3 linked regions of the Arabidopsis thaliana genome follow. The protein of the gene in region 1 interacts with the protein of each later gene in a pairwise test. Each region holds a gene or a part of one and is shown in the gene's direction. Other genes may lie near its edges. The genes, in order: SAUL1, AT2G20110 and AT5G03050.

Evidence for each region.
Region 2: the proteins of SAUL1 (region 1) and AT2G20110 interact in binary tests that used the Arabidopsis thaliana proteins (3 or more experiments, as listed by UniProt).
Region 3: the proteins of SAUL1 (region 1) and AT5G03050 interact in a two-hybrid assay, tested with the Arabidopsis thaliana proteins (2 studies listed by BioGRID).

What each region holds. Positions count from the first base shown.
Region 1 is NC_003070.9:7,212,697-7,223,688, forward strand, and holds SAUL1 (senescence-associated E3 ubiquitin ligase 1), read left to right. Parts: upstream 1-4,324; 5' UTR 4,325-4,709; exon of another isoform or gene 4,710-5,097; 5' UTR 5,098-5,115; coding exon 5,116-5,652; intron 5,653-5,748; coding exon 5,749-6,058; intron 6,059-6,354; coding exon 6,355-7,913; 3' UTR 7,914-8,146; downstream 8,147-10,992. Other genes in the region: AT1G20760 (Calcium-binding EF hand family protein), read left to right, coding at 1-46, 334-405, 496-610, 723-791, 890-1,248, 1,499-2,077; AT1G20770 (coiled-coil protein), read right to left, coding at 2,649-2,725, 2,809-2,896, 2,987-3,036, 3,120-3,266, 3,389-3,506, 3,785-3,952; AT1G20790 (F-box family protein), read right to left, coding at 8,265-9,572. UniProt on the Arabidopsis thaliana protein: Functions as an E3 ubiquitin-protein ligase. Prevents premature senescence probably by targeting proteins involved in this process for degradation. Promotes the degradation of AAO3 and thus represses abscisic acid (ABA) biosynthesis.
Region 2 is NC_003071.7:8,680,498-8,690,716, forward strand, and holds AT2G20110 (Tesmin/TSO1-like CXC domain-containing protein), read left to right. Parts: upstream 1-3,619; 5' UTR 3,620-3,998; coding exon 3,999-4,282; intron 4,283-4,485; coding exon 4,486-4,593; intron 4,594-4,692; coding exon 4,693-4,870; intron 4,871-4,950; coding exon 4,951-5,298; intron 5,299-5,398; coding exon 5,399-5,484; intron 5,485-5,568; coding exon 5,569-5,990; intron 5,991-6,062; coding exon 6,063-6,373; 3' UTR 6,374-6,721; downstream 6,722-10,219. Other genes in the region: AT2G20100 (basic helix-loop-helix (bHLH) DNA-binding superfamily protein), read left to right, coding at 51-107, 312-356, 977-1,312; COV1 (CONTINUOUS VASCULAR RING protein (DUF502)), read right to left, coding at 7,071-7,162, 7,277-7,403, 7,530-7,627, 7,717-7,884, 7,973-8,082, 8,177-8,229, 8,666-8,824; LCV1 (uncharacterized protein), read right to left, coding at 10,117-10,202. UniProt on the Arabidopsis thaliana protein: Plays a role in development of both male and female reproductive tissues.
Region 3 is NC_003076.8:709,654-719,758, reverse strand, and holds AT5G03050 (knotted 1-binding protein), read left to right. Parts: upstream 1-3,411; 5' UTR 3,412-3,538; intron 3,539-3,770; 5' UTR 3,771-3,775; coding exon 3,776-3,838; intron 3,839-3,926; coding exon 3,927-4,076; intron 4,077-4,152; coding exon 4,153-4,226; intron 4,227-4,321; coding exon 4,322-4,457; 3' UTR 4,458-4,458; exon of another isoform or gene 4,459-5,716; intron 5,717-5,737; 3' UTR 5,738-6,532; downstream 6,533-10,105. Other genes in the region: IMPA-9 (importin alpha), read left to right, coding at 23-173, 391-472, 559-617, 695-1,000, 1,127-1,291; AT5G03060 (striatin-like protein), read left to right, coding at 2,081-2,717, 2,796-3,037; iqd2 (IQ-domain 2), read left to right, coding at 7,353-7,412, 7,490-7,816, 7,969-8,190, 8,476-8,595, 8,723-9,379.

The sequences.
Region 1 (10,992 bases):
AGGGTCAAAATTAACTATTGAAGAGGCCAGGTTCCGTGAGATTGAGGTATGACTAATTCAAGTGGCAACACCTATGTACACTCCAGCCGTATATTTTTTTTTCTCCAGTTCTTCTATGTGCATTTTCCCTTACTAGGCTTATCTAAACTTCATCATTGTTTTTTTCTTTTTCTTTTTCTCTGGATCATGTTGTGCGTCTTGTCCTCTCCTCTTATTCTATGGCCCAATGCTCCCTTCTTTCACCTTTGCTGGTGAAGGGGCTTTGAATAATTTTGTAACACATCTTACGGAAATTTGTTACTTATTGAACTTTTGCTTTGCTAACCCATCCAGGGGCGGAAGATGGAGTTGAGTCAAGCAATTGTGAACATGGAGCAAGGTGGTAGTGCTGATGGTCTCCTTCAGGTACATGCTATTCTATATGCTTACGAGATGCCTTAACTGTCGAGTATCTGCTGTACATGCCTGATTTGATGCTGTACTGGGCACATTTAGGTCCGGGCTGACAGAATACAATCAGATCTTGAGGAATTGATGAAGGCTTTAACTGAACGATGCAAGAAACACGGGTTGGAGGTTAACTCGAAGGCCCTTGTAGACCTTCCAGCTGGTATATGATTCCGTTGCCTTGTGACTTCTTGCTTTCGTTGTAGATGATTGCAAATAACATGTATTTTGTAAACAAACAACTTATGTGGAATTTGCTATGTTGTGACTTACAGGCTGGCAACCTGGAATTCAAGAAGGTGCAGCTCTTTGGGATGAGGAATGGGATAAGTTTGAAGATGAAGGTACAATGTTTTTTCCTATCTTTCTCTTACTAATACACTTAGATATATATAGTTAAGCACATAACAAGGACATTGACTGATAATGTTCCCACTGTTAGGTTTTGGCAATGAGATCACTTTTGACAAATCAAAAGAGCAAAACTCGTCTGGTGAGAAGGAAAATGGTACGGTGGATGATGGTAGTGGGCCACCTGATTCGCCGACCCATGTAGAGGACAACTATGGCCCTTTTTCAGAAACCTCAGACCGCCACCATGAGAGTGAATATGGGACAACTCACAGTGAAGATAGAAGTCCTAGAGACAGTCCTGTCTCTAGGAATGCTACTGAGGTCCCATCTCCAGATTATTCTCAGGGAAAGAATTCTGAATTCTTTGATGACTCGAATTGGGCAAGTGCATTTGACACTAACGATGATGTGGATTCAGTCTGGGGATTTGATGCATCAAAAAGCCAGGTTAGTAAAGAAACATAGTGTCTCTCGCTTTAACACATCAATCCATCTATCAAAATACTAAATCAAATCTTTCAGTTGTGACGAATAGACATTGAACTGATCTTTTAATTTCTACAAGATTTTGAAAATCCGTATTAAGTTCATGCTTTTCAGATTTGCGATGTTACATTTACCTTCTGTATGCTGAATCATTTAGTTATCTATTCAGAGTCTTAACCAAGCTTAGCATTTTCAATATCAACATTGGCAGGATGGAGATTACTTTGGATCAGGTGACGATTTTGGTGGAAACACAGCAAGAGCAGATTCTCCAAGTTCAAGAAGCTTTGGCGCCCAGAGAAAGAGCCAATTTGCATTTGATGATTCAGTCCCCAGCACTCCACTCTCAAGATTCGGGAACTCTCCACCTCGGTTCAGCGATGCATCAGCTAGAGATAATAACTTTGATAGCTTCTCCAGGTTCGACTCCTTCAACACCAGTGAAGCAGGCGCCGGGTTTTCTTCGCAGCCCGAGAGACTGTCTCGGTTTGATTCCATCAACAGCTCCAAAGACTTTGGTGGAGCTGCCTTCTCTAGGTTCGATTCAATTAACAGTTCCAGAGACGTCACTGGAGCTGAGAAATTTTCGAGGTTTGATTCCATCAACAGTAGCAAAGACTTTGGTGGTCCCTCGCTATCAAGATTCGACTCTATGAATAGTACAAAGGATTTCAGTGGTAGCCATGGATACTCGTTTGATGATGCAGACCCGTTTGGTTCCACAGGTCCCTTTAAAGTCTCTTCGGATGAAAGCCCTACGAAAAGGTCAGATAACTGGAACTCCTTCTAGCCTCGGTTACTATCGTTCCCTTTTATAATCCTTTTTCCTCGCTTGATGAACTTGTGCTTGTTTCATAATTATAATTTTTTCACCAAATTCTGGTTTTGGATGAGACACTAGCGTTAGTCTATTTGTAATTTGTAAAGTTTGTCTCTGTATTGGTTTCCTACTGTATCTCTGTTATGTTATGAATTCATTTGCTTTATATGAAAGAAATATTTGAGGATTTCGTCGTGGATAAGAGATTAAAGGACAATGAAATGATTTTATTTTTCTCCATTTTTACTGTTTCTCTTCTCCAAAATGTTTTATTATTTTGATATATCCTTAGCTCGAGGTCTTGTAAGAACTTCTGGTAACATTTAACCAAATCAAAACAGATACACTTGAAGGTGGTAGCTACAAAATTGAAAATCGAGCTAATGCATTGGTACATTCTAACCCTCTGACTCGAAGAAGATATGATTTTCGCAGCATCAAACTGCTATGATCAATGTAACATCAGTCTTTGAGGTTGGCTCCATTCTGTTTCCGTTGAATCCACTGAGCACATTTCAGGATCAGTTGTTACCAAGGAACTTCACTTCTCTGTGATCCGCTCAAAGGCAGATATCATCGATGCACGCATGTTGGCTATTTCCACCAGAGTTTCAAGAGCTGTCCAAAGACGAGAGAAAAAAGAGTTTCAGTTGTAAACTGGAATCTTCCTTTGAGTATACTTGTGGTGATGAGGATGTTACCTGTTTCAAATGATTGTTGAGCGCCACGCAGCTTAGGAGAGACTAGACCTCCAAATACTGACAGAGATTTTGCCCGTTCTTTCTTTATCTGGAGCTCAACACATTCGAATTAGTAAAACCATCGTCCTACATTTTGAAAACAAGTAGAGTTTCTGCAGACGGTTAAATGATTGCTCACCTCTTCATCAGCTGCTAAAACGGTTTCATCCTTGGCTGATGGTTTCTCTTCTATCGAATTACATAAAGCAAGAGATGATGAAACACCGACAAACAAAGGGCAGAGAATAACCAACAGATGAGTCTTTTTTTACCAGAAACTCCTCGATGTCGTAGCTGTGGGCTGAGAGGTGAGCCTATCTCCGAATCTGTATCAGTAGAGAAGTCTTTGCCTTTCCTGCTACCGCCCTTGGAAGCCCACTTGGACAAAGCAAAATGAGGTACTGATCCCAAAGATTCAACTACAAGAGTCCATAGACATACACTGTATATAAGTTGCTTCCCCGCAAAAAAAACATAAATTCATAGCATATAAACGTAAACCATTGAACTATCAAACGCCCAAAGCATAAGCCAAACTTACCATCTTGGTCAGTCACTTGCAATGTTGAAGAAGCGGGATGATACTTAAGATCTAAGAGAGTGCTGTTGATGCGTAAAGTTCCCATAGAATGTCGAGCACTAGCTAGATCAAACCATCCCTGCAAAAATAACACATTTCAGTTCCATACCAAATAAGTTAATTAAGGCAGCAGACTCTCACTCTCATCATATCAGTGATATGAATCCACAAAAAAGTTTCTCCTCATGGCTACTATAGCTAGATAATCAACGAAAACGTTTCCCACGCAATCCTTTTTAATCCCAGATTCAATTCAATTCAACACAGAATATCTCAAGTCATCTATACATCAGAACATAAGAATCATTCCCATAAGATCCCATTTTAGCTCAATACACCAAATATCATTCCAATTACCTCTCGAAGCTTAGAATTCACAGAATCCATAAGCGTTAAATATCCATCCAACGAATCTAGAAACTGCAAAACATTCTCATCTCCTCCCCCTTTTCCCAGCTCAGTTTTCACTTCTGATTCTTTATTCACATCCACTGATTCATCTCCTTCCTCGTAAATCTCCGCCATCGAAATTTAGCTCCAACACACGCGAATCAACAAATCGAAGCTTACACGAGGAAGACAACGTAAAGCGATCGAAACAGAGACAGATCAATTTCTCGAGTAAACGAGGCTATTTTCGTAATATTTCAATTAGTAAAGGCCCAATAGCCCAAGTAGAAGACAACGTAAAGCGATCGAAACAAAGACGGATCAAACGAGGCTATTTTCGTAATATCCAATTAATAAAGGCCCATTAATACCAATAGCCCAAGTCGAAAGATTACCTCTTTCGGGTCAAACCGGTTATGTTTATGGGTGGGTGGGTAGAGCAAGTCGAGTGTGTGTGAACACAGCGCCAGGCTGTTTGTCTCAGTTTGTCAAGTTGGCGTTTGGTGGCTCCACGTCTCTCTCTATCTCTCTCTCTCACATGACTTTTCGATTTTAGTCAACCTTTCGTGCTTTTCTCTTAAAAATTCGATTTTTTCTTCAACCCATCTTCTTCTCTGTTATTTCCTCTCGCTTTTACCTGTCTCTCTCGTTCTCGCACGGGGATAGAATCAACTCTGCTCGAGATTTTAGTAGGAGGCAAGCTCGATTGCTTGCAATTAGATCCATGGATGAAGAAGAACTCACACTTTCTCGCGCGTTTTTAGCTCAAGGAGATTTTTGAAGAAGTGGTCGTTTTCGAATTGTCAACTTCAGAAGAAGAATCAACTTTGGTTTTTTCTTTTCCCTTCTCTGTATAGCTTTGAGGAGGCGCTTCTTCAACTGGAACAGGCTGGTGTGCTTTTTTTTTTATCTCTTTTGGTATTTTTGAAATGCTTCATGAGACGTTGTTTCTCTTCTTTATCTTTTTGACGAATATTGCTAAATTTGGTAATCTTGCTATATAAGGGTTCATGGGAGTGATGATTTTGGGACACTGTTACTTTTCGTATTTTAGGTTATAGTTATGATTGAAAGTTTGAATTTTGTTTCCTTGGCTGTGAAAGAATCCGGGAACCAAACTGTGGTACTATCCCTTTTTGTGTTTCCAAAACTTTCTCATTCATTTACTATCAAATTTCGACACTTTCTTACCAGACTCTCTTGCATTGATGTATCCAAGTGGGTTTTCATCTAGGATCCTATGTTTCATAACAATGAGGTATTTGCTTGTACATTTGCAGTGAGTTTGAAGGATTAAGATGGTTGGAAGCTCGGATGGTGACCAGTCAGATGATAGCTCTCATTTTGAGCGAGGAGTAGATCATATCTATGAAGCATTCATCTGCCCATTGACAAAGGAGGTTATGCATGATCCTGTCACTTTAGAGAATGGTCGAACATTCGAGCGTGAAGCCATTGAGAAATGGTTCAAGGAGTGTCGGGACAGTGGGAGACCTCCTTCTTGCCCTTTGACATCTCAGGAGCTGACTAGCACTGATGTAAGCGCCAGCATAGCTCTGCGTAACACTATCGAAGAGTGGAGATCCAGGAATGATGCTGCCAAGCTTGACATTGCTCGTCAGTCACTGTTTTTAGGGAATGCTGAGACAGATATTTTGCAAGCTTTGATGCATGTGCGACAGATTTGCAGGACCATCCGATCAAATAGGCATGGTGTACGCAACTCTCAGCTTATCCATATGATCATCGACATGTTAAAAAGTACTAGCCATAGAGTGCGGTATAAGGCTCTACAAACTCTGCAAGTTGTCGTTGAAGGAGATGATGAGAGCAAGGTTGAATCTGATTTCTTTTCATCTCTGCTGAATATTTAGTGTAGCATTTTAATGGGAAATTGAGCGGGTGCTAATTAAATTTTCAGCATCTTGCAGGCGATAGTAGCTGAAGGGGACACTGTGCGTACACTAGTTAAGTTCTTATCACATGAGCCATCAAAGGGGAGGGAGGCAGCTGTTTCCTTGCTGTTTGAGCTCTCTAAATCAGAAGCTTTGTGCGAGAAGATTGGTTCCATTCATGGAGCACTAATATTATTGGTTGGTCTGACAAGCAGCAACTCAGAAAATGTTTCAATTGTTGAGAAAGCTGATAGAACCTTGGAAAATATGGAGAGGTCAGAGGAAATTGTTAGGCAGATGGCTTCATATGGTAGACTCCAGCCTCTTCTAGGCAAACTCCTTGAAGGTGAAAGAATTTCTTTTCTTTGTTTGGTTTTAATATAACAATTACGCTCTCTACTTCATTTGCATAAAACAAGTTATCATCTTCCTTCAGTTGGTAAAATTCTTCCTTCAGTTGTTCGGATGCATCACAGTGTTATGGTATTCTGCCTTAGAATTTGTTTGCTCTAGGAATTTTACATGTTCGCTTGTAAGAAGAGTCAATTTTCTTCTACCCAGATGGTCAAATCTTTCATTATTTTCCTCTGTTATATGGCAAATTTCTTGTATGAATAATGACACCACATGTGAAATCTGCAGGTTCACCTGAAACAAAACTCTCTATGGCTTCCTTTCTCGGGGAGCTTCCCTTAAATAACGATGTGAAGGTTCTTGTGGCTCAGACTGTGGGTTCTTCTCTTGTCGATCTTATGAGAAGTGGTGACATGCCCCAACGGGAAGCTGCCTTGAAAGCTCTTAACAAAATCTCATCGTTCGAAGGGAGTGCTAAGGTCTTGATCAGCAAAGGAATTCTCCCCCCACTTATCAAAGATCTGTTTTATGTGGGGCCAAACAACCTTCCAATTCGGTTGAAAGAAGTCTCTGCCACTATTCTTGCTAACATAGTGAACATCGGGTATGACTTTGACAAAGCCACTCTTGTTTCAGAGAACAGAGTGGAGAATCTGCTCCATCTAATTAGCAACACAGGTCCAGCGATCCAGTGCAAGCTGTTGGAGGTTCTTGTTGGACTCACCAGTTGCCCAAAAACAGTTCCAAAAGTTGTTTATGCAATTAAAACCTCCGGTGCAATCATCAGTTTGGTTCAGTTTATAGAGGTCCGAGAGAATGATGATTTGCGGTTGGCTTCCATAAAGCTTCTTCATAACCTTTCCCCATTCATGAGTGAAGAACTAGCTAAGGCCTTATGTGGCACTGCTGGACAACTCGGAAGCCTTGTTGCTATCATTTCAGAAAAGACACCAATCACTGAAGAACAGGCTGCTGCTGCTGGGCTCTTAGCTGAATTGCCAGATAGGGATTTGGGTCTTACTCAGGAAATGTTAGAAGTTGGTGCTTTTGAAAAAATCATATCCAAAGTGTTTGGAATCCGCCAAGGGGATATCAAGGGAATGAGGTTTGTGAATCCTTTTCTGGAAGGACTTGTGCGTATACTTGCTAGGATTACTTTTGTTTTCAACAAAGAGGCTCGGGCCATTAACTTTTGCCGTGAGCACGATGTTGCGTCACTCTTCCTTCATCTGCTCCAATCCAACGGGCAAGATAACATACAGATGGTGTCCGCCATGGCTTTAGAGAATCTTTCACTAGAGTCTATAAAGCTGACACGGATGCCTGATCCGCCTCCTGTGAACTACTGTGGCTCGATCTTTTCGTGTGTGAGAAAACCACACGTTGTAAACGGGCTGTGCAAGATCCACCAGGGAATATGTTCATTAAGAGAAACATTTTGCCTTGTCGAAGGAGGAGCTGTGGAGAAATTAGTGGCTCTATTAGACCATGAAAATGTGAAAGTGGTTGAGGCCGCACTTGCAGCTCTATCGAGCTTACTAGAAGACGGGTTAGATGTAGAGAAAGGGGTCAAGATACTCGATGAAGCGGATGGGATACGGCATATACTAAACGTTCTGAGGGAGAACCGAACAGAGAGGCTGACAAGGAGAGCGGTTTGGATGGTGGAAAGGATCTTGCGGATTGAAGACATAGCAAGAGAGGTGGCAGAGGAACAGAGCCTGAGCGCTGCACTTGTGGACGCTTTCCAAAACGCTGATTTTAGAACGAGACAGATCGCTGAGAACGCGTTGAAACACATTGATAAGATCCCAAACTTCTCAAGTATATTCCCAAACATCGCATAGGGAAAATCTCTTTGAAACTGTCCAGTGAGTTATAGTGATTTTAAAACTGTGGTTTTTGTTTTGATGGGATTACTTGTTAATAGGCATCCAGTTTTTTTCTGGGTATATATTGTAAATTCCGATTCTTATTTGTTTATAAATCCTACGTTGGAAATCGAAATCATTTGATTGGCCTCAGATTAAAAAGGCTTATGTGTGTTGCGGAGGGAGTTGTGCTTACTTTTGCATCAAATATATATTGAGTTCATAGATTAAACCAATTTGTAAAACGTTTTAAGCTTCACACAAACTGATTTGAGATTTGGGAAGAACAAAAACAACTCTTTCTTCGCACCCTTTAAATAAACTAATTTAGTTAATAAAAGACAAAGTACGATTAACCAGACCCATAATAGCCATTACAGATGAGATGACTTCAGATCTGGTAACGGTCTCGGTCTCGGTCTTGGTCATGGGCATAGGCATAGGCATAGGCATAGGCATAGGCATAGCCATGGCGATGGGCATAGGCATAGGCATGGCCATGGGCATAGGCATGTGCATGTGCATGTGCATGTGCATGGGCATAGGCATGGGCATGGGCATGGGCATAGGCATGGGCATGAGCACATGTACATGTTCTTGATCCAGTAATCCAATCACAGAAGACCACGACGGCTTAAACAGAAAAAAGTCTCGATCAGCATCGCACCACGTTGGAATCGAACCCAAAACTCTCCACTTGTTAGCTCTCAAGTCGTATCTGTGAATCACTGAGCCAACCAGACTCATCATCCTCACCAGTAAACACTTGCCGTCGTACGCCTGCACGTTCCAGTACAACAACGGTAAACTTTGGTGCACCACCTCGTTCTTGATCCACCTCACGAGGATCCATTGACCATCAGTCTCGAGGGCATAAACGGAAATCACTGCATCAGTAGCCGATATCAATGTCAGGCGGTTATCGCCGGTACAGAGCAAGAGCTTCCCCGGTTTCCGGTTAAATTGGCTTTGAATCAGTCGTGCTTTCTCTGTTTCGGGATTGAACGCTACGATGCTCCCGTCTTTTCTCAGCCAGTGAAGATCTCCGTTCACGTAAACAGGTTTCGAATTCTTACCCTTTTTGAGATTACTTGCGCGGCAAGTAATGGTGGTTTTCGATAAGCTCCATGATTCTCCGGTGTTGATCCTGAATTGATACGTCGTTTCGTATGGATTTGAAACCTCTAGCTGCTCGGATATGAAAACGATTTTGAATCTCTGAGTGGCTCGATCGATCTGATCAACCGCGAACCCAATCCACGTTTCGTTTCCCCATATAGAGTAATGCAGGAACCGGAACTTCTTTGTGAGAGGATTAGCGACGCAGAGGATACCATTAATGGATAATAGGACAAGGCCGGAACAAGAACCGAGAATATTACACAAGTTCTTCAAGGGTGTCATGTTTTTGAATAACCTAGAAATGGCATAAGGGTAGAAACAGAGGAATTTAGAGCCAACTTTGGAGATATGAAGCAAACTGGACCCGATCCGAGAAAAGTATTCGAATTTAAAATTTGGGTCGTCGGATATATGCGTGTTGATAGATTTATTTGTGCATCGCATCTTCCCCAGAGATTTGGGATCTAAGTTGAAGAGAATCTCATCGAGGAGATGCAAAGGTAATCTCTTCATGCTGATCTCAGTGAGGATTTAGGGTTTATGTTTTTATTTTTGTTCCTTTGGATCTGCGTTGAGGTTTATGTTAAGCGATCTATTTGACCAGATTTTTCGTTTAACATCTCCAGATTTTTAGTTACTCCCAAATTATCCCCATTATTAGAAAAATTAATTGACTTCTTTTTCGTTTATTTTCTTTGGGAGATAAGGTTAATCAGTTTAAAATACAGGTCAAGGATAAAAGATTTATTTCACAATATAATTTGGTTCATGGGTAATACATACAGAGCAAAATTCATACCATTGCTCCACACTAAACAACACAAAAACCAAAGTTAAAAACTTTCAACAAAATCTCTAATCAATCCAAAATTACACAACTTCAGATACCTAATAATCTAAAACCAATACACAGAAATCTCAATTTAACAACAAAATTGCAAACCCAATTCTTCAAATCTCATCAAACACCAAATCGTTTAACGCGATCTACAAAATCGATTAAAGCCAAAACGATATTCTAATACAGAAATCTAACATGTGCATTGACAGTGATCGCAGTATGGTTCCGATGAATTAATCACATTTTCCTCAACAATGTAGCAGAATCAGAGAACTCTTTGTCCCATGGCTAAAAAGAGTACACCACAGTCCACACAGGCATACGACGGATATCATAATCTTTGAACATCAATAGACTTCTTGACCTTACGTGCAAGGTCTTGGCTGATCAGATGAGAGGCAAAACTCCAGAGCAGATGTGTGAGCACTTCAACATCAAGAACGATTACACACCTGAGGAAGAGGCGGAAGTTCGCAATGAAAACAAGTGGGTGTTCGAGTGATTGGATTGGAGTGGATCGGTGTTTAGGACAACTTAATCTCTTGTCTATGCAAACTTCATGGAAGTGGTATTTACATGACAATTCTCTCAGCTCTGTTTCATCTTCATAGTCACATAGACAAATACACCATTTCTAAAACAGAGAAAGATTCATTTATTTTTTTAGAGTGTATGTCAAGTAACTTGTAACTCATTTTTCAAAATTTAAAGTTTTTAGATCCTTACGTTTTAGAACCCACCATTGGACAGCCTAAAAATTAAAAACATTCAAAGTGTCTAAATTTTGAATTTTTTATTATTAAAATTATAAAATTATGTTTAGATTTCAATTTGGGATCCAACCATTAGTCCATAACAACATTTCTAATTAATATTTGTTTGGTCAACAACATGCAATATACGCAATATGTTCAGTCACTTAACTAACTTGTAAACCACAAAGCCAAACTCAGTAATATTTTTGACCCAAGAGACAAAACAAACAACAGAAACTCTACATATACAGTTTTGTTACATTACAATGTGGTGATCCAAAACTGACTAAGATGGTCCGAAGGAAAAAGAGAAATGACAATGGTTACTGCGTACTAT
Region 2 (10,219 bases), on another chromosome or scaffold:
GAAAAACTATTTAGTTTTGTTGTCACTCTAATTAATTTTCACAATTACAGGCTTTAAGTCTACCATACTTTGGTACTCCCTCGAGGAACAATATGATGCACCAACATGTAAGTATTAAATTAATATACAGCTTTAATTAGTAACATGTATAATGTAATTATACACTACAAGATGCACATACATGCATGGGTTTCTACTAACACATCATATATATATAATGGGGCATTAAAATGTATCTTTTTTTTTTTGGTAAGTGCATTAAAATGTATCTGAATGCTAATCATTATTAATTTGTAATTACGTGAATATAGGCACAAAGAAATATGAATGGTATATTTCCTGAGGACCCTGGTCAGGTACGCACATATATTTTTTTACTTTCTAGTTTTATATACTTTACTTTTTATTGGATCAACTAAACCCAAATCTCAATTTAAAAAAAATAAATACTTGCCAGCTTTATTCCAAAACAATTACCCTTTTTCTCTACTATTGTTCTCTTGAAATTGAAATGACTACGATAAAGTATGGTCAATAAAATAAAAAGATGACATTACCAACTTTCCTTTTCAGTCCTCTATTAAACCTAGAAAAGCCATTTAAATGATTTATTATATTTATTTTCCTCAATCAGAGTAGCTTTGGTCACAAAAGTTTTTTTGGCAAATGATCGATCTAAATCAACTTTTCCAACCAAGATATCACGATTCACCTGTCCCACAAATGGTTTTATATTTTGTGACTACTTGTGAGTTTGAAATTAACTCTGACTCAAAATTTTAGCAATATTTTTCAAAGCAAAATTTATCGCTTTTCAAATTCAGAAAATTAAATACAAAATACTCACACTCAAAGGTATTAAACCCGCGGATTGGTGCACAAAACAGTAAATATTCATTTTTTGGTTGCAAAACAGTAAATATTCATGAAACTGGCATAGGTTATTTTATCCATATATCATTTACATGTAATACAGGCCGACCCACCGCAAAAGAATTTGGGCTGTTGCGAAGTAGGCCAACCCGTTTTGTCACCAATACTCCCACTAGATCACACTTTCAATATTATTTTAAATATCTATGCTGAAGAAATATTTTCTGATTTGGTTAATCAGCTTGTGAATGAGTATTGCATGAAAAGAGGAGTTTCATTGTCATCGACGGACAATCAAAAATCAAATCCTAACGAAGAACCGATGAAAGATTTGAGAAGTAGAGGGCTTTGTCTTGTTCCCATCTCATGCACACTACAAGTTGGCAGCGACAATGGTGCCGACTATTGGGCTCCGGCGTTCGGAACCACTCTCCAGTGAACTATTCACTTTCTGTTATTTTATTTTTGGTCAGCCAAAAAAAAATAGTAGATGTTATAACATCATGAGCAACCAATCAATTGAGAAAACATCAAAATGAGTTTCCAAATTTGATTGCTCATGATGCTATACTAAAACCGATTGGTTTTGGCGTTTGGCCTTTGAGCATTTTCAGTTGACGAGTATGAGATGGCTTGTTGAATCATGTTTTTCTTACTTTAATAGGAAACTTTATTTATTCTCTTAATGTATATGTTGGTTCTATTTTAATTTTATTATTGTTATAATAGAATGGTTAAACAGTTAAAGATGTTTTCATACTAACTTCATCACTAGGTTTAATCGTTTAAGATGTTTTAAAGAAGCAAGAAATGTTGTCTTCGGAAAGAAAACAGATGTACTTATAGATACTTTCTGTTCCCAATAATTTAGAGACTAATGATTTCTTTTATAAATTGTCCTAATCAAAGTTTCGTTTGTTTTAGTTGTCTTTTTAGATTTCTCGTGCATGGTCTCAGCTCAGTTTATTTTTAGACACTTCAGACATCTCACCATGGTATTGGAATTGGTAGTGCTCAATTGGTGGGTTTATTATAAGCCCTTTGCTCCATCACTATAATTGGGTTTATGGACTTTGAATTAAATTCTACAGGCCCATGGGTTTATGGATATTGTTTTCAGCACATGTCAAATGTCAATATATGAAAAATTCAATGTGGAGAAACTTCTGGTGGCTTCATAAAGAGTAAGACTGCATTTCCTGATAGTAGTAGTGTACTGGTGTGGATGCAGATAACGTTATTAGAAATCAAAATTGAAAAGGTAGCTATTTTTAGGTCACATATTGTATCATTAATAGTCATTGTTCAATGATGAAATAATGAAAGACTAAAACTCTTGGATTGAGTCTTAGAGATCTATAATGTAACTTAGGGCATTAGCTTAGCCTTAATTTCACATGGTCAGTGCTTTAGTGTTGTGCAAATGAACTTGAGGAAGAAGCATTAGTTGGATTGAAGTTTTATTAGTATGCTTATATATACTTTTGTAATTCCTCATATAGTGAAGTGTCCTTCAACGTATTAAAACATAAAATATAAAATGGTTTGAGACTTGTAATATCTTTTATTTTCATGCAAATTTTTTTTTAAAAACTTTTATAAGAACAAACTTAGCAGTTGGTCTCTAGCACAATGAGTTTATTGTAGAATTTTGTGGAATCAAATTTAAGATTTAATTAACCTGAAAATAAGTTTAATAGATTTGTGACATCAAATTTTTAAAATGGAATCACAGTCTTACGTTTTCATTCCATCTCTAAAGTATGAAGGAAACCTGTAATGAAGCTTCCATGCCACCTAAGTTGTACAAAGTTCTTATCTAGCCTAATGAATAAAACCTAAAAATTAAACCAACTACAAAAGTTCAAACATGAAAAGCACATAGGAAAGGATCTAATCCCGATGTCGAACATCATAGTTCACTCATATGATTTTCAGTTTTCGTTGGTCTTGTGTGTTTTAAGTCTTTTTAAGTCTTGTGTGTTTATTGGTACCAAAAAATTAAATATTCTTCTAAAATTTACGTATCTAATTAAAAGAGAAAATATATATAATAAATCTTTTAACTATTGGTAATAAGTGTTAAAACAAATCTCAACTTTATAATAGAGTAAATATCAATGTTCTTTTTGTTGACCACGCAAAATAGACCTGAAATTAGTCAACTTTAACTATACTATTGTATTAACTAAATGTTAATTTTTAGTTATCAATTTATTATTTTGAGAAGATAATCAAACTGTTAACTAAAAATAAAAGTCACTTTCAGTTTCTATAAATCCCCAAAAATCAATTATAAACCCAAACTCTTCCTCACTTCATGTTTAAAGTTTAAACCAAAAAAAAAAAAAAAAACTCTTCAAAATCCTGATTTTGGGGAAGAACATAGATTCGCAAATCGATTCCTCTTCATCACGCAACATCAACAAAATAGTCAGTTTCGATTCCTTTTCTTACTTAGATTTTTTGTTTTTGTTTTTGAATATTTAAAACTATTGGGGCATTTTCGTGAGTAACTTAATAATTTGGGCCAAAACCGTTATTTTAAAACATTACTTCTCTATTATGTAGTAGTCACGAGTGATCGGATCGGACGGTGAACGATCGACGAAACTTCAAACCTTATATGAATAGTAATCGTCAGATCAACGTATTTAATAACAACCGTACGATCAAAATGTCTGTGAAATCTAACCGTCGAATATAATCCAGAAAATTGAAATTTCAAAACATGTATAAGAGAGGGAGGAGCAGCTCTCGCGAAGACGAAGAAGAAGAAGAAAAACCCCAAATTTCTCTGTTTTTTTTCGTTGGGTGGTTCCTCAGTGGTTACCAAATCTCTCTTCTTCTTCTTCGTCAGAAGCTAAAACCTTTCAAAACCCTAATTTCATCTATCTATCTCAATAAGTCTAGATCAAAAATTCGAATTTCAAAATCCCGTTTTGAGTTTTAGTAGATTCGGTTTCTGGGTTTTCGTAGAAACGGGATTAAGGGCGGATTCAGATCTTGAAATTTTTGTGTGTTTCTCAAACTGATTATAAATTTTGGTTTTTTTTTTTAAATTTCGTGTTTGAAAAATAGGGAAAATTTCTGGGTTTCTTCTGAGAAATTCGAATTTTTTGGAGATGGGAGAAGGTGAAGAAGGAGACAAATTCCCGCCAAAAACGGATGAGGTTACACAAGAGTCTATGAAGTCGGCGAGGCAACTCGATTTTACTGGTGGTTCTTCCGATGTTGAGCATTCACACTCTAATCAAGCTTCTTCGATGGCTGCTGCATCAATCCCTTCACCGATTGTGACGGTTACGCGGCCAATAATTACCAGTCAGGCACCACCGACGGTGGCGACTCCGATTCCACCGCCGCCACAATCTCAGGGCATCATCCTTCACGTCCCAATTAGACATCCGTAAGTTTCTCTCTTATTCAAAAATTTGAACTTTTGGGAAGTTGATAGAGATGTGTTTCTATGTTGCTGAAGTCAGATTTGGGGATTAAAGCATAGATCTTTACATTGATTTGAAAAGATTATTGAAATTGACATTTTGATTTTCATAGTGAATAAGGCAAGGTTTGAATTTCTAGAGTTGACACTTGTTTTTGTAATTGCAGGAGGCCCGAATCTCCGAATTCGATGCCAAGGCCTGCTGGGGAAACTAGAGATGGAACCCCTCAGAAGAAGAAACAGTGTAACTGTAAACACTCACGGTGCTTGAAGCTGTAAGTCTCTCATCATACCATTTGATGACAAAACTCTTTGTTTCTTTGTGGACTTGTTCATTGTGAATTGAACACTGTACAATGTCTTTTTTTGATCAGGTATTGTGAATGTTTTGCATCTGGCACTTACTGTGATGGTTGCAACTGTGTAAATTGTTTCAACAACGTTGAAAATGAACCTGCGAGACGACAAGCGGTTGAATCAACTCTGGAACGGAATCCGAATGCGTTCAGGCCAAAGATTGCTGCTAGTCCACATGGTGGACGAGATAACAGGGTATGTGGTTTGTGTTATGCTCTTTAAACTGTTGGTCTTAAGGTTGTTGGATAAGTTATAAATTTTGACTCGATTTGCAGGAGGAGGTTGGTGACGTTGTGATGTTAGCGAGACACAACAAAGGCTGTCACTGCAAGAAATCCGGATGTCTTAAGAAGTATTGTGAGTGCTTTCAAGCAAACATTCTTTGTTCTGAGAACTGCAAATGCTTGGATTGCAAAAACTTTGAAGGGAGTGAAGTTAGACAATCTCTTTTTCACGGTGAACATTCCCACAACTTGGCTTATCTTCAACACGCAAATGCTGCCATAACCGGAGCTATTGGTTCCTCTGGCTTTGCATCTGCTCCACCTCCTAAGAGAAGGAAAGGTCAGGAGATTTTCTTCAACCAAGGAACCAAAGATTCATCCACTCATAGGCTTGGCCAGGTAAATCATTTACGCAAGTTTATTTGCTTAGTCGGGTTCTATATGATTTCCTCCTTTGTTAGAGAAATGAGAGATCTTATAGTATAATTATTGGTATCAGGCAAATAACGGAAGAACCACATCTTCGCAAACTGGTTCTCGTGCTGGAGGCAATGCGTCGTTAGGCCCATCCAAAGTTGTATATAAGTAAATTTCTGATGTGTTAACAAAGCTAAATCTTTTCTTTGAGACTTGCAGAAACTGAGTTATAAAATATGTTTTCTTTTGAAGGTCTCTTTTGGCAAACATAATTAAACCAATGGATGTGAAAGCACTATGTTCTGTTCTGGTTGCTGTAGCTGGGGAAGCTGCAAAGACATTAACAGAAAAACGGTTAGCAAATCAGAAAGAAACTTCCGTAGCTTCTTCTGTGCAAGATCAAGGACACGTCAATAATAAAGCTGAGAAATCTGGTTTAGAGGATTCAAATGCAGATGGCTCCAAAGGGAGGTCACTATCTCCAGAAACTTTGGCATTGATGTGTGACGAACGGGACACAATGTTAATGGTTGCAGCTTCACCTAATTGTTCGGTGGAGCCTACGTCACAGCTACCAAACGGGCAAGACCAGGTTTATGCAGAACAAGAAAAAGTAGTATTAACCAAGTTCCGTGACTGCCTTAACCGAATAATCTCCTGTGGAGAAGTAAAAGGTAACCATTTCTTATATCATCAAGAAAATGGAGTATATGCCCAGACATAAAGATTCACTTATTCAAACCTAGTTTTTTGTTTGTTTGTTGCAGAATCAAATTGTTCTATGTCAAGAATGGATCTAGATACACCTGTACAAACGACTGTCAGAATCGACCCAGTGGTTCAACAAGCTCCAGTTGCAAATGGAGTTTCACAAACCGCAAAGCAACCTTCCCAGCTAAACACAACAACACCAAACACATCCTCACAAACTGCAAATGGAGTTTCACAAACGGCAAAGCAACCTTCCCAGCTAACCACAACAACAACAACACCAAACACATCCTCACAAACTCATCTTCATAAAACTCCAGCTTTGTCTGAGAAGAAAGACCTCTAAATCAATTATTTACTCCTCTAGGAAACAATAACTTTACAGAAATGCAGCTGCATCCATCTCCCCATGCCTGATATATGAGGTACTGCCACCAACACTCCTTTTCATTCCTCTTACATATTCTAAAACAGAGGAGAGGTGGCAGCTTCAGCGCATTAGCAGGTGCTTAGAGAGTATTACTAAATAACTATTCACAATAATTTTGGTTGAATTATTAGGCTTTCTTCGTCTTTCCTTTCCTCCAAATTCTTCTCTCTGATTCATAAGAGAGCTGTTTCTTTACAAAAATTGTTGTCATTATTTGTGTACATTGTTACTTACCATTGGCAATCACAGTGATGCTTATTGTGGAACATACATGCTATTGTCTGATTCTGATATGCTTTAGGCACTATAGAAGACCTGATGTTACTTCATCTTGAGATTTGAAGAATAAATAAACCAAATCAAATTTTGGTCTTTTAAAAAAAGAGGATTTAGTCAATTCTTGTAAAACTAGAAGAAATTTCGCAATACTTTTCAAGAAGAATAATATTTTCAGGAAAAAGATTCATATCTAAGAAGAGAGGGAGAGAGAGACCTACCTTACATTATACACTTGTAAACACATGAAATATTACAACAATATTGAAGAGACTCCAGAGACACACAAACACTCATCAACAAATCCCAACAAAAAGAGAAATTCTTCTGCTTTAAACTATAAGCTTGTAGCTCTATCAATCGAGGCCAAAGGTTTATCAACAGTGGACAGAATCTGTGGCATTGACATTCCACCCGAAACAACAATCTCTGCAGATGAAGAATGAGTATACAGTGTTCAGTATCTTTCCACAAAATAATTTGAATGCTATATAACAAACGATAAATGTATCTAGTACAGACAATTAGATTCTGAAATCTCACCAATTCCTTCCCGGACCGAGAGGTTTGGCCTGATAACGTCATTACTGTTGACAAGTAGTAGATCTCCAATGTAAAGGTGGTTCGTGGGAACGTATACACAGCAAAGTTCCTCCTCGGTTGGATAGTTCTGCAAGGACGAAGGACATTATTACATTGGATAAACAAATGATGTAATTATAGTAAACCATGCCTCGAGATTGTATCTGCCTTCGTATCCTTTACCAAAATCGTTGAGCAAAGCAATTTCACTCACCTGGAGAACAACAGTTGATGTAATGAAGCCAAATGCGTATTCACCTACACGGGGATGCCTGATGATTGCAACTTCCTTGAAAGCTTGTGTATTTTGATCTGTGATGAGAAATGGATAAGAACAAGATGAGATAGGAGATCAACTTAATGTTGAGAAGCAAAACAAGATTTTTATAAGCAAGCTAGACCAGGCGATATGGCAGTGCTGATTTGCTTGGAGGCGTTGTAGATGTGACGAACAAACGGCATCCGCTTGATAAACCACTCTCCCAAGTTCAGAACCGATGCCCCCAACCACGAAGACATGAACACCCCAACCAAGAAGATGAATGCAATGGAAGTCAAAAAACCGAAACCTACAAAAAACCATAATCAAACTTATTGTGGGAAACGGAACGATATCAAATTGTTCATTCGATAAAGAAGGGCCACTCAAATTCTTACCAAATACGTTGATTCCAAGTTGTGCATATATTGGAGAGAAGAATCCATCGACAAAGTGAATAAACCACCATGTTATATAGAAAGTAATTGCAATAGGAAGTAGGATAACACTACAAAAAGCAATTGAGATTTGAAACTATCAGCACAAATCTTGAATATGTGACAAGTTTCATCAAGCCAAAATTTCAGTAAACTCTTCCTTACCAGCCTGTCATGAACTTCTTTGACGCCCAGCCCCTAATGAACAAGCTTAAAGTCTGCAGAAAAATAGATAAAGCATCAGATCACAATGCTCCTATGTGTTATATATGCTTGAAAACATGAATTAGCATGACATAGAGACTCAAGAATCTGACAGATCCCAATAAAAACACTTAAGATCTAATGCAAATTAATACTCTACTCAGTGAGGAAAGGTCAAATTTCTATAAGCATCTTAAGAATTAAGATCAGTGTTAACACACTACCAAACTTATCTAAGCAAGTGTTCTTGTAATATACTGAATCTAGGGCTAAACCATGTTCCAAGATTTTGCACTAAGGGGTTTCTCAGAATGGGCCAAATCTCTGAAGACTAAATCTTGAAAAGACCTAAGAGCTTAAAACCAATCCAATTCAACTGTTAATTGCGCATGAATCTTGAAATGAGAAAACGAAGAACAAGATTTTTAGATCAGGTGACAAAAACTAGACCTCGTGGCTGGATTGATGCGAAGAAGAAGAAGCAGAGGAAGAAGAAGAAGGCTTCGAAGAAGAACCGTCGTCTTTGTCGCCGGAATCAGCGACGGGAATCAGAAGCTCTCGATCTCTTTCTCGATTGGCCATAACAATCACCGGCTTCTCGTCTCCCATCGCCAAGAAACCAAAGAGACAAGGAAATCTAGTCGGAGAAAAAGAAAGAAGAGAGAAATGCCGGTGAACTGTGAACGGCGGAGAGGAAAAAGGCTGAGACTTTTGCCGGCGACTGTTCTTTTGTAGCTAAGCTTAGCTAACTCCAACTTGAGCTCTCTGTCGTTTTTGGATTTTTCTTTTTATATCTGTCTTCTTTTATTTATCCTTTTCTTAATTATAACATGATTAATTTTTGTTTCAAATTACTGTATACAAATTATTTTCAAAAGATGAAAAGATTAATTTTATTGTTGTGAATTAATATATCAAAAATTTATTTGTTCTACTTGAAATCATATACATTCATCGTAAAAATAAACTTTACAATAAATATTTTATTATCTAGAGTAAAACATTTTTGATTCTTAAGCAATATCAAAACAATTCCATCATATTTAAGCAAAAAATAACTAATTATAGTATATGTTTTAAATGATTTATACTGTAATATTTATTATTGTCATTTTTGTTTGTTACATACGTCTTCGAATTATCACATTAAAAGAGAAAATTATTCTAACGATTATATATTTTCCCAAGACTGCACCCAATGTTAAATCTGATATGGAAAATAATTTTCTTACAACTTTCAGATTTATTTTAAATATAAAAGTTAAGCAAAAACTATAATATATATATATTTGAGATTTCTATATGAGATAAAGTTCTAAAATAAATTAAAGTTTACAAAGGCAGAGAAATGAAGATTCATAATTAGGTCAGGTGCTAAGCACAATCCTCCTCTAAGAAAATTTTGGTCGATACATTTTTAGCTGCAGTATTTTATTTCACCATAAGAATTAGTAACATGTTGGAAACAAAACGTACCTGAGATCAAAAGAAGAGCTAGACAGAGAAATGTTAGACCATTTTTTTCTTCGATCAACAATGTCTCTCTATATATACCACATTTTATACTATTCCCTAATATGTAAAACGATATTGCCATTTGTCATGTGATTATTATTAGGGTGGGATTATCTTTGATTATCTTTTTGTTATAAAGTCAATGCGACAGTAATATGAAAGACACAAGGACGCGGATACAAATTATAATCTATAAGAAAAGAAAAAAAATTATTTTTAAAAGGGCTAAAAGAAAACAAGGTTATTCAAATAATATTGACAAATTACACTTCTCGACAAATTTTTCTGTGTTTTTTGGTTTCTCTATTCGCTCAGATTTTGTGAAACGTCTCTTCTGATTTTTTATTTTTTCCTATCGATCGGCCAAAGGTTTTTGAATAGTCACTTTAAGATTCATTTCCAATCGAGGCCAAAGGTTTATCAAGAGTCGATAGAATCTGCGGCATTGACATTCCCCCGGAAACAACAATCTCTGCAGATGAAGAATGA
Region 3 (10,105 bases), on another chromosome or scaffold:
TATTATTGATTGTTGGATTCAGGGATGAGGAAACTGCCACGGAAATTGCATGGATCATTGTTTACCTATCTGCCCTCTCAGATATCGCTACAAGTATGCTCTTGAAGGGAGGCATTCTTCAACTACTTATTGACAGATTAGCAACCTCAAGTAGCCTACAACTTCTCATCCCGGTAACTTTCAGATAGACCTTATCGTCCAAAAGAAACAGGATTCTAGTTAAAATATTACCTCAGATTATGCTATTCAATTGCTTCCAGTTCCAAGTCCCATCGATGTCATTTATACTCATATTAGCATGAATGATTAGAATCAGAATACTCACTACGTGGTCCTTAATTTTCAAATGTTGCATTCTTGATTATCTCTAAAACAAAAATGTGAATCCAGGTTCTCCGAAGTTTAGGCAATTTTGTCGCTGTTGATCCCAAAGCAGTATTAACAATTCTTATCCGTGAACAGAACACTGAAGGCTAGTATCTATTATCTTTTCCGGGTTAAACATCATCACCTTAATCCTATATATTCAAGATACTTATATTGCAAACTAAATTTCAGAAAGCATCATTGGTGTGCTTGCAAAGTGCTTAAGAAGCGAGCACCGTGTTTTAAAGAAGGTCAGTATCACATTCCCGTTGTGGTTTTAATTTTTTACAATTATATGAAGCTTTCATCACTATACTCGATTCTGTAGGAAGCTGCTTGGGTGCTATCTAATATAGCGGCGGGATCTATTGAACACAAGAGAATGATACATTCTACTGAAGTAATGCCATTGTTGCTACGGATTCTTTCCACATCCCCCTTTGATATAAGGAAAGAAGTTGCCTATGTCTTGGGAAATCTCTGTGTAGAATCTGCAGAAGGAGACAGAAAACCAAGGATAATTCAAGAGCATTTAGTCTCTATTGTCAGTGGCGGTTGCCTCCGGGGTTTCATTGAGCTGGTCAGATCTCCTGATATCGAAGCTGCTAGGCTTGGTCTTCAGTTCATTGAGCTGGTAAGCAACTAATTAAATGGCTCTTAAAAGCTCAATGAGACACGAGTTTTGCTTATATGTTGATGTCGCATAGTCATATTTGGAACAGGAATGATCCTAATTGGTTTTGATTTCTTTGGTGGATAGGTTTTAAGAGGAATGCCAAACGGGGAAGGGCCAAAGCTTGTGGAAGGAGAAGACGGTATCGATGCAATGGAACGGTTTCAGTTTCATGAGAACGAAGAGCTGAGAGTCATGGCGAACAGTCTTGTGGATAAATACTTTGGTGAAGATTATGGAATCGATGAATGAAATCGCCTCGGATTTTAGGGTGAGAATACAAAGAAAGTCGGATGATGAAATCAAAAGGAAACTAGTCATCTTAGCGTTTGCTTGTAACGATAGTGAGTGAGAGAGAAAGACAATAGTCTTTAGGTTTTGTCTTTTGGGTTGTTGTTGTAACTACTTGTAATACAGTTTTGTCTCACCGAAGGTTTGATTCCTTTTTGTCGTATCCTCCTTGTCACTTCAAATCCAATTATAAGATACACTGTCAATGTAATTATGATTTTTAGATACGGTGGTATTTTATTTGAATATCGAATTATCTTTTTAATCTAAGCTAAACTAAAGTAAATGATTTTACTTGTTTGAGGACATGAATGGGAAGAGAACAAAAATTTGGATTAAGTTCAATTTAACACTAAACAAAGATTCAATTATTAACTTGATCATGAATATGTTGTCCTTTCGTATTCCCGCTTCATTTTCTCTGTTTCTAGGGATTTGCTTTTTCCCTTCTCTGTAGCTACTTTCATTTTCCAGTAGCTAGCTCTTTCTCTCTTCTGGTCGTTTGAAGAAGAAGAAGATTCAAAAGATTTTCTGGGTAAGATTCTTCTTCTTCTTCCGTTGTACATTTTGGTTTAAAGATCCGCTAGTGTTAGTTTCCCCGTTCTTCTTCCGGTGGAGCTTAGAACGAATTTGAGTTTTAGGGTTTCTTTAGAAATCTGTGAAATTTTGTAAATTTGGCAAAGATAAAGAAGCTCTAGTAAAAGCTTGACCGCTGTTTGTGTTGATATCCAGGGTTAGGGTTTCGACGTCATGACTGGAAAATCATCAGCTCGTTCAAACAAATCGGGGAAGAACAAAATCTCGTCGGTGGCTACTCCGACAAGAAGAAATTTGGTTGTTCAGGAGGAGATTTTGGCGACAAAACATGAAATTCTCAAGGAGAATTATGAGAATCTGGAAAAAGATTACAAAAGTATAGAGGAAAGTTTTAAGCAGATGAATGAAATGAACGAGATAATGAAGTTTCAATATCAGAAGCAAATTAAGGAACTCGAGGAGAAAATTCTAAGCTTGCTTAAGGATTTAGAGAAAGAGAGAAGTGAGAAAGAGGAGTATATGAAGGAGATGAAGGGAATGATCAGTGAGAAAGAGGCCATTATCAATGATTTGAGTGTTAAGAATCAGGAGCTTTTGATTGCGAAAGAGGAAGAAGTGGAGAAGCTGAAGAAGATGGAGAACAAGTATGCTGAATTGAAAGAGAGATTTGATGCGGCTGAATCACAATGTTCATTCTTGAAATCGCTTTTTGATGCTGAGAATCTCGCCGGTCTAGGGAGTAGCGATGTGGCTTTCGAAAATGAGGTTATTGTGGTGGAGGATTATAATGTGACTATCAAGAATGAGGTTATTATGGTGGATGATCATAATGTGAATAACACTCCAACAGGTATGTATGTATGTTCTTGATATGTTGGTGAACCTCTCTTGTAAGAAAATTTATTTGAATATTTTCTGTTGTGTGCAGATACGATTGTGATCCTTGACGAGAGTGATGCTGAAAATGATAATCCTCATCCAAGAGAGAGTAACATAATCTCTGAAAATTCTGTTGATGTAAAACAAGAACAACAATCAGCTGGACCAAGCTCATCAAAAGTAAATCGTCTATTGTCATCATCGTCGTCATCATCATCATCATCATCAGTTGAACATGTATTCGTTGAGCTTCCCTTTAAAAGGTCCCGGGATATTTATAACAAGTCTTGAACCTTTCTCGATGCAGTGATCACTGAGCCAGAAGAAGTTGCTCACTCTTAAGTTAAGCTAGTTTAAGGTATATCTTATCGATCCTCCGGTTTATTGTTTTTTGTTTTGTCCCGGAGGTTGTAACATTTTTTGGACGAGATAGATAAAAAAAACGATTAGTATCTGATTAGGTGAATATTTTGGCTGTATGTTTTTTGTAAAATGTTTGGATTACTCGGCTTAATATCAAATCGCATCTAAATCGCTTTGATTCTTGAGTCACTCCTCCATACTTAAAACGCCAATAGCATTGTATAAGCATAATTACTTAATTAGTGATGATTATGAAACAGAGACAATAAAATAAAATAAGTCTTAAATCTAAACGCTTATTTAAATGGATTCTCGGAATAAACAAATTGGCTTTTCTTCCTCATTCTCTACACTCACTGGACTCTCTCTAAAACTTCTTCATCTTCTTCTCTCCAATTCGTACTGAGCAATTTCTTCGATCTTCATCGCGTAAGTTCTCTGTTAATCTCTTTCGGAGGTTTTTTCGTCGATCTCGATCTAGTTTCTTCCGTTCTATTGTAGAATCCTAAGCTAGATTGTTGGGGATGTAATCGTACGGTTTTTAGATTTTGAAATCGGAATCTGCTGCGATGCTTTAGCTAGTGGATTCAATCGCATCGAGTAGAAAACTTAATTCTTAATCTGTTTATGCGTTCATGAGCATCGTTTTAAATTACTGCAGTTTTGATGAACACTGAAATGGAAGAAGACGCAGGGAATGGAGGATTTCGGAAACGCATGAGAGCATCTGTAAGTTTTTTTTGAATTTGTCGTTGATCTGGTGATGATGATTTTGTGGTGGATCAGATTTTTGATTTTGTCCTGTGAAATTTGTTAGGATGAAGAGGGAAAAGGAGATTCGAGAGATGGAATTAGCCTTGATCATACCATTGAGAATGAAGAAGCTGAGACGAAACTTGTTGCTTCTGATGAGATGGAACTTAGCATTGCGCAAATTCTCGATAAGATTGAGAGCTTCACACAAACTGTAAGCTGCTCTTATCATTTCCCTGATTGCTTAAGTTTAGGAAGAATCTGATATTGATTGATGCTTCTTGTGGTAGGTTTCTAACTTGCTGGAAACAGGGAAAACAATGCTCAAGGAACTCAGTAACGAATTCGAAGAACGCTTGATCATGTGAGTTTGAAGAGATTCTATAATGTTTCTGTATGTACCATGATTGAGATGTTTATACACTCACATGTGTAACACTGTTCACATTTATGAAACAGGATACACAAGGAACATGTTGAGAAATGGCAGGACGAGATCAAGGAGTTGCGTTTGCTTGATGCATCAAACGAGGAGACTACTTCCCTCTTACACAACGCTCGCTATCTGATTCAGAATCCTAGCATTGAGCAATGAGGTAAACAGTCTAAAACCCTATCAAGAAGTACTATCAGCCATTACTAAGAATAGATTATCTTCTGTCGTCCAGTGGTGTAAGAAGTCATATATATAACTTTAGATCAACATATGGTTGGTTTGAGAATTTAGATTTCTTCAGTTTCAAAAACTTTATGATGTTTTGAAGGAAACATAGAAATAGCTTATCATGAACCTTTCTCAGCTAATTAAAACCAGAATTGTGTTTGCTTCTTTATTAGATTTTGGAGTGAATATAGAAAATGACTCATATCTCTAGTTCGATCAAAAACCAGTAACTCTTCATTCTCTTTTGCAATTCTTAAATGTTTTTCTCAGTTCTTGTTTCAACTCAATCTCCCAAAAACTCTCATGCTGAACGTAACCCTATCTTTTAAAAAATATTATTATAAAATTGTTTTCTTATAACTATAAATATTATTTTAAATGTGTATGTTTAACTGAAAAAATAGATGAACTGAAGTAGTAACAAAAGTTGAATAGTGGTGAAATTAAATTCTCTGAGGTGATATAGATGGACATGGACTAATCTATATATGAAGTTGTAAACTGTTAATTCAATTAAATTCACTGGGAAGAAAAAGGTATGGCGTTATCATGGGTTCAGGTTTAGGTGTTAGCCAATATAGGAATCTTCTACCGTTGCTCTGTTACAAAACGACAAGACTTAAATGTCGGGTCGTTACCAAACTCACTGGCTCATCTAAATATCTTTAAAACGCTAACGGCCCTGACCTTATTTCCATGCCCCACTTACATTTCAGATAATGCCAAATGGATTTTTCGGTTCAATTTTGGTTTAGTTATCTTTTTTTTCCCCCGGTTTAATTAACTTATAAATTTCACTTGCTAGAATGCAAAGACCAACTCAAAGTTGACCGACGGGGAGAGAAATTTTCATAATAGCTTATAATTATTTTTTATTTTATTGGCAACGACAAAGTTTGAATTATACATTAGGTGGAATGTCCATATCCCCAATTCAACTACCGACTTTGGATATACAGATACCTATTAATATTATAAGTTATCAGAGGCATATCTTTATATAAACAGTTATACATAGGACTTTGATATGTTGGACATATGATTAGCTAAAATAAATTATCAAATTCCAACGGCTAGTTCTCACTTATTTTATATGAAAATAATTTTAGGGATGTTATACTAACGAAACAGAGAAGACGCCACATGGAGTGATTGGACATATATATGCTTTTTTTTTTTTTTTTTTTTTTTCTTAACCACAAAAATTACAGGAAGACTGGTACAAGCTGGCCACCGATAAGGAACCTTTTGGGTTTATCTCCGAAAAAAGTCAATGATTTCAGGCAGATAATACTTAATCCAGTGGACAAAAATTATATACTCTTTCAATCATCGTTCTAGTTCACTGTATGTCAATCCATATAATTTGGGAAATTGCTTTTGTGGTGGATATACACGATCATAGAGCAAAATACAGTCTGCTAATAGCTGTTGCATAAAACGAGTTTTTCCAAAGCATTATTTATGGTTTGTGTCACTAGGTATTATGAGTCAAATATTTTCTTTGTTCATCCATCGGAGATTAACTTAGTAGTGTGGGTGGATCTGAACATAAAATATGATATGGTGTACAAGTACAATGACCAACTAATTTTCATGATTTATCAAATCCAGAAAGTATTAAGTATCGTATATGGTGGCTTGTTAACGAGTATATTTTAAAATGATAAAGGCTGTCTCACTGGTGGACATATTTTGTTCACATGTTTTGTCGGTTGTAGTAATGTAAGCGTGTATTAAAACACACATACTTTATACGGATTATGCAGATGAATTAATTCGATAAACAATTGGTATTTGACGACAAAAAATACGATCTTAAATCTTAATTCGATTAATAACAGATATTTAACGGCAAAAATATAGTGTTATATTTTAACCCGCCTAAAGACAAAAATTAAAGACGAATAAAAACTTTTTATTGCAACAATTTTGTTTTATTAGGTGAAATTAAAGACCAATCTTACCGGATAAAGTTATAAATTAATTTAAAATTTATATGGTCACTGTTTTATCGATCCTCATAACTTGTTCATTAAATTATCTAGTTTCAAAAAAGGTACAAAATCCAATACATTTTCCAGTTTACACGTTATCCATATTTTAAGAAAATTTCAAACATTTTTAGAGAAAACACCAATATACCATGTCAACTATGTATACTATTTTTGAAATGCACCAAATAATAATAAATCTAAAGATACTATACTATAAAAAGAAAAATTAACAAAACAGTGTTTATGAAACTTAAGAAATAAAACTCATCACTAAAAAAAAAAAGTGAAAAGAATAGAGTAAAAGAGAGACGAAGTTGGTAAATTAAGAAGAAGAAAAGGAAAAAAAGAAGAGTAGAATGGGGCCCACAAAAGAGGCCCAATTAAGTGGCATCACGCACAAACACACACCGTCACAAATACTCTTCTTCACACAGCTTTGAATCCATCTGTCTTCTCCTCTCTCTCTCTTCTCCATTTGCAATTATGATAATGTGAAAGCAATTCGAAGAAGAAAAGTTATCTTCGCACCTCAGCAAAGATCCAATCGATTCGATTCTTAAGCTTTTTCGTCTTCTCCGATAAGGTCACTACTTAGAAGCCGCGTTGTGGTTTAGTTGACTCCTCCAGGTTTTATCTTCAAGCTTTTTCGTCTATCAGATCTGGTGTCACTGTCTTCTCATAGGTACGATTCATTCTCTCCCTGATTCAGTATCAATTGGTGAATTTTAGCTCTAGATTTCGAGATCTGTCGTAATTTAGCTACTGAGATCAGTAGATTCAGTTTCCTTGTGGAATAATTTGTTTCTTCTCTGTGAAGGATTACATAGAGATGGGGAAAAAAGCTAAATGGTTTTCAAGTGTTAAGAAAGCATTCAGCCCAGATTCAAAGGTGAAGTTTTTTTTTTTGTATATTGATGTGACTTAATGTTATAGTCTGTATATATTGACATGTTGATGTGTTTTCAGAAGTCGAAGCAAAAATTGGCTGAGGGACAAAATGGTGTTATCTCTAATCCTCCTGTTGTGGATAATGTTAGACAATCTTCTTCTTCTCCTCCTCCTGCTCTTGCTCCTCGTGAAGTGAGAGTAGCTGAAGTGATTGTTGAACGGAACAGGGATCTTTCACCTCCTTCTACAGCAGATGCTGTGAATGTTACAGCTACTGATGTTCCTGTAGTTCCATCTTCATCTGCTCCTGGTGTTGTTCGTCGCGCTACACCTACTCGATTTGCTGGAAAGTCAAACGAAGAAGCCGCTGCTATCTTGATCCAGACTATATTTAGAGGTTATTTGGTATGTAATTCTACTCTTGCAATTGGCTTTATTATCTGCAGAAACTTAATTCCTTCGGAATTTCGTATGAGTTTGACCGAGGCACTTGATTTTGTGTGAAGGAAGCTGCTTTGTTGAGTATAATCTTATTTTGTGTAATATCTGAAATACAGGCAAGGAGAGCGTTGCGGGCAATGAGGGGTTTGGTCAGACTTAAGTTATTGATGGAAGGATCTGTTGTTAAGCGGCAAGCTGCAAATACTCTAAAATGTATGCAGACTCTCTCTCGTGTACAGTCGCAGATCCGAGCTAGGAGAATCAGGATGTCAGAAGAGAATCAGGCTCGCCAGAAACAACTCCTTCAGAAACATGCTAAAGAGCTAGCTGGCTTGAAGGTCTGTCTCTCATATTCATCTGATTCAGTTTTTTTCTTGTTATTCAAAGTTTCTTCCGTTGTTTTTGGTGAGAGGATTGCTAAGAAGTAAGAACTGTTGATTTCTTCCTAGCAGTTGCTATTATGTTTCTGCTTATTAGTCTGGAAAGGGTTAATAGTAGCATTACCATTCATATCAAATAGATGTTTACTTACACTATCAATTTACTGTCTCTTTTTTTATCTGAAAATGGAATCTTTGGGCCTTTGCTTATAAAAGTACTATTTTTCCTGTTGCTGCTCACAGAACGGGGATAACTGGAATGATAGCATTCAATCAAAGGAGAAAGTTGAAGCGAATTTGCTAAGCAAGTACGAGGCAACAATGAGAAGGGAAAGGGCATTGGCTTATTCATACTCTCATCAGGTACTCCAGTCGTTACCTATAATGCTGAATGTGTGGAAAGATACAATTAAAAAGTGAACACATCCATTGAAGTTGAATCTGTGGTTCATTTGAATGTTGTAATGATCCTATATGTTCATGTTTGCAGCAAAACTGGAAGAACAACTCTAAATCTGGAAACCCGATGTTCATGGATCCAAGCAACCCGACATGGGGTTGGAGCTGGTTAGAGAGATGGATGGCTGGTAGGCCACTAGAGAGTTCCGAGAAAGAACAAAGCAACAGCAACAATGACAATGCTGCCTCGGTCAAGGGCTCTATTAACCGCAACGAAGCTGCAAAATCTCTAACCCGCAATGGCTCAACTCAACCAAACACACCATCATCCGCAAGAGGGACCCCAAGAAACAAAAACAGTTTCTTCTCACCTCCAACTCCCTCAAGGCTAAACCAATCCTCGAGGAAATCCAATGACGACGACTCCAAAAGCACAATCTCGGTCCTGTCCGAGAGGAACCGCAGACACAGCATTGCTGGTTCATCAGTCAGAGACGATGAGAGCCTCGCTGGCTCACCAGCTCTCCCGAGCTACATGGTTCCAACTAAATCAGCTCGAGCCAGGCTCAAGCCCCAAAGCCCATTAGGTGGTACCACACAGGAAAACGAAGGGTTCACAGACAAGGCATCAGCTAAGAAACGGCTCTCGTATCCAACTTCGCCTGCATTGCCTAAACCACGGCGGTTCTCAGCTCCCCCTAAGGTGGAGAGTGGCGGCGTTACCGTGACCAACGGAGCAGGCAGCTGAGGTATTTTATTTAATATAATTATTTTCCCACTTATGAATGTGTCCGAGATTGTTGTCTCTTATGTGTTCCCTTCATTTCGTAATTCATTTGTGCAGTGTAAGCGCCAGTCATTTATTTTTTTACTATAATAAATTTTATAACCTTTTAAAATTCATGTTCTTTTGTTTCTTTGAATATTTAAGTTATTTTTATTAATGTTGGATGAATTGGAATATGATGATGTTATTTGTATTGTAATGCAGATCCTTTAAAGCTTAATTAATTTGTAATACCTTTTATTTGTAGTCGTAAATATCTTATTCTACGTTAGGTTGTGCTTGTATGTACTATGAACTATGAATATCTGTGCTTGTATGTTTTTCCTTCAAAAAATATTCATATCTTTTTTACTTGTAATCGCAAACATAATCCTGTCAAAGAATCTTTGAAGATTCCCTTTTTTTATTTACTTGGCGAGAAATCAAACATTCTCTGGAAGATTAGGTATAGTACTTTGCCTTGGCGGCGATATGAAAGGAACAAAACTGTATACCAAACCCTCCGGTAGAGGAAGAGGGGTTTTGACCTTTTCTTACAAAAATGGTCGGTTTTGACTTACTTAACCGACAAATTTGTTGAACCGACAAATTTGTTGAACCGACAGTATTAAATAGAAAAGAAGAAGGAAGTTCTCTTCAAACCGACCTCCTGCCCACGCAAAAAAAAAACAAAAAAAAAGCAGCAGC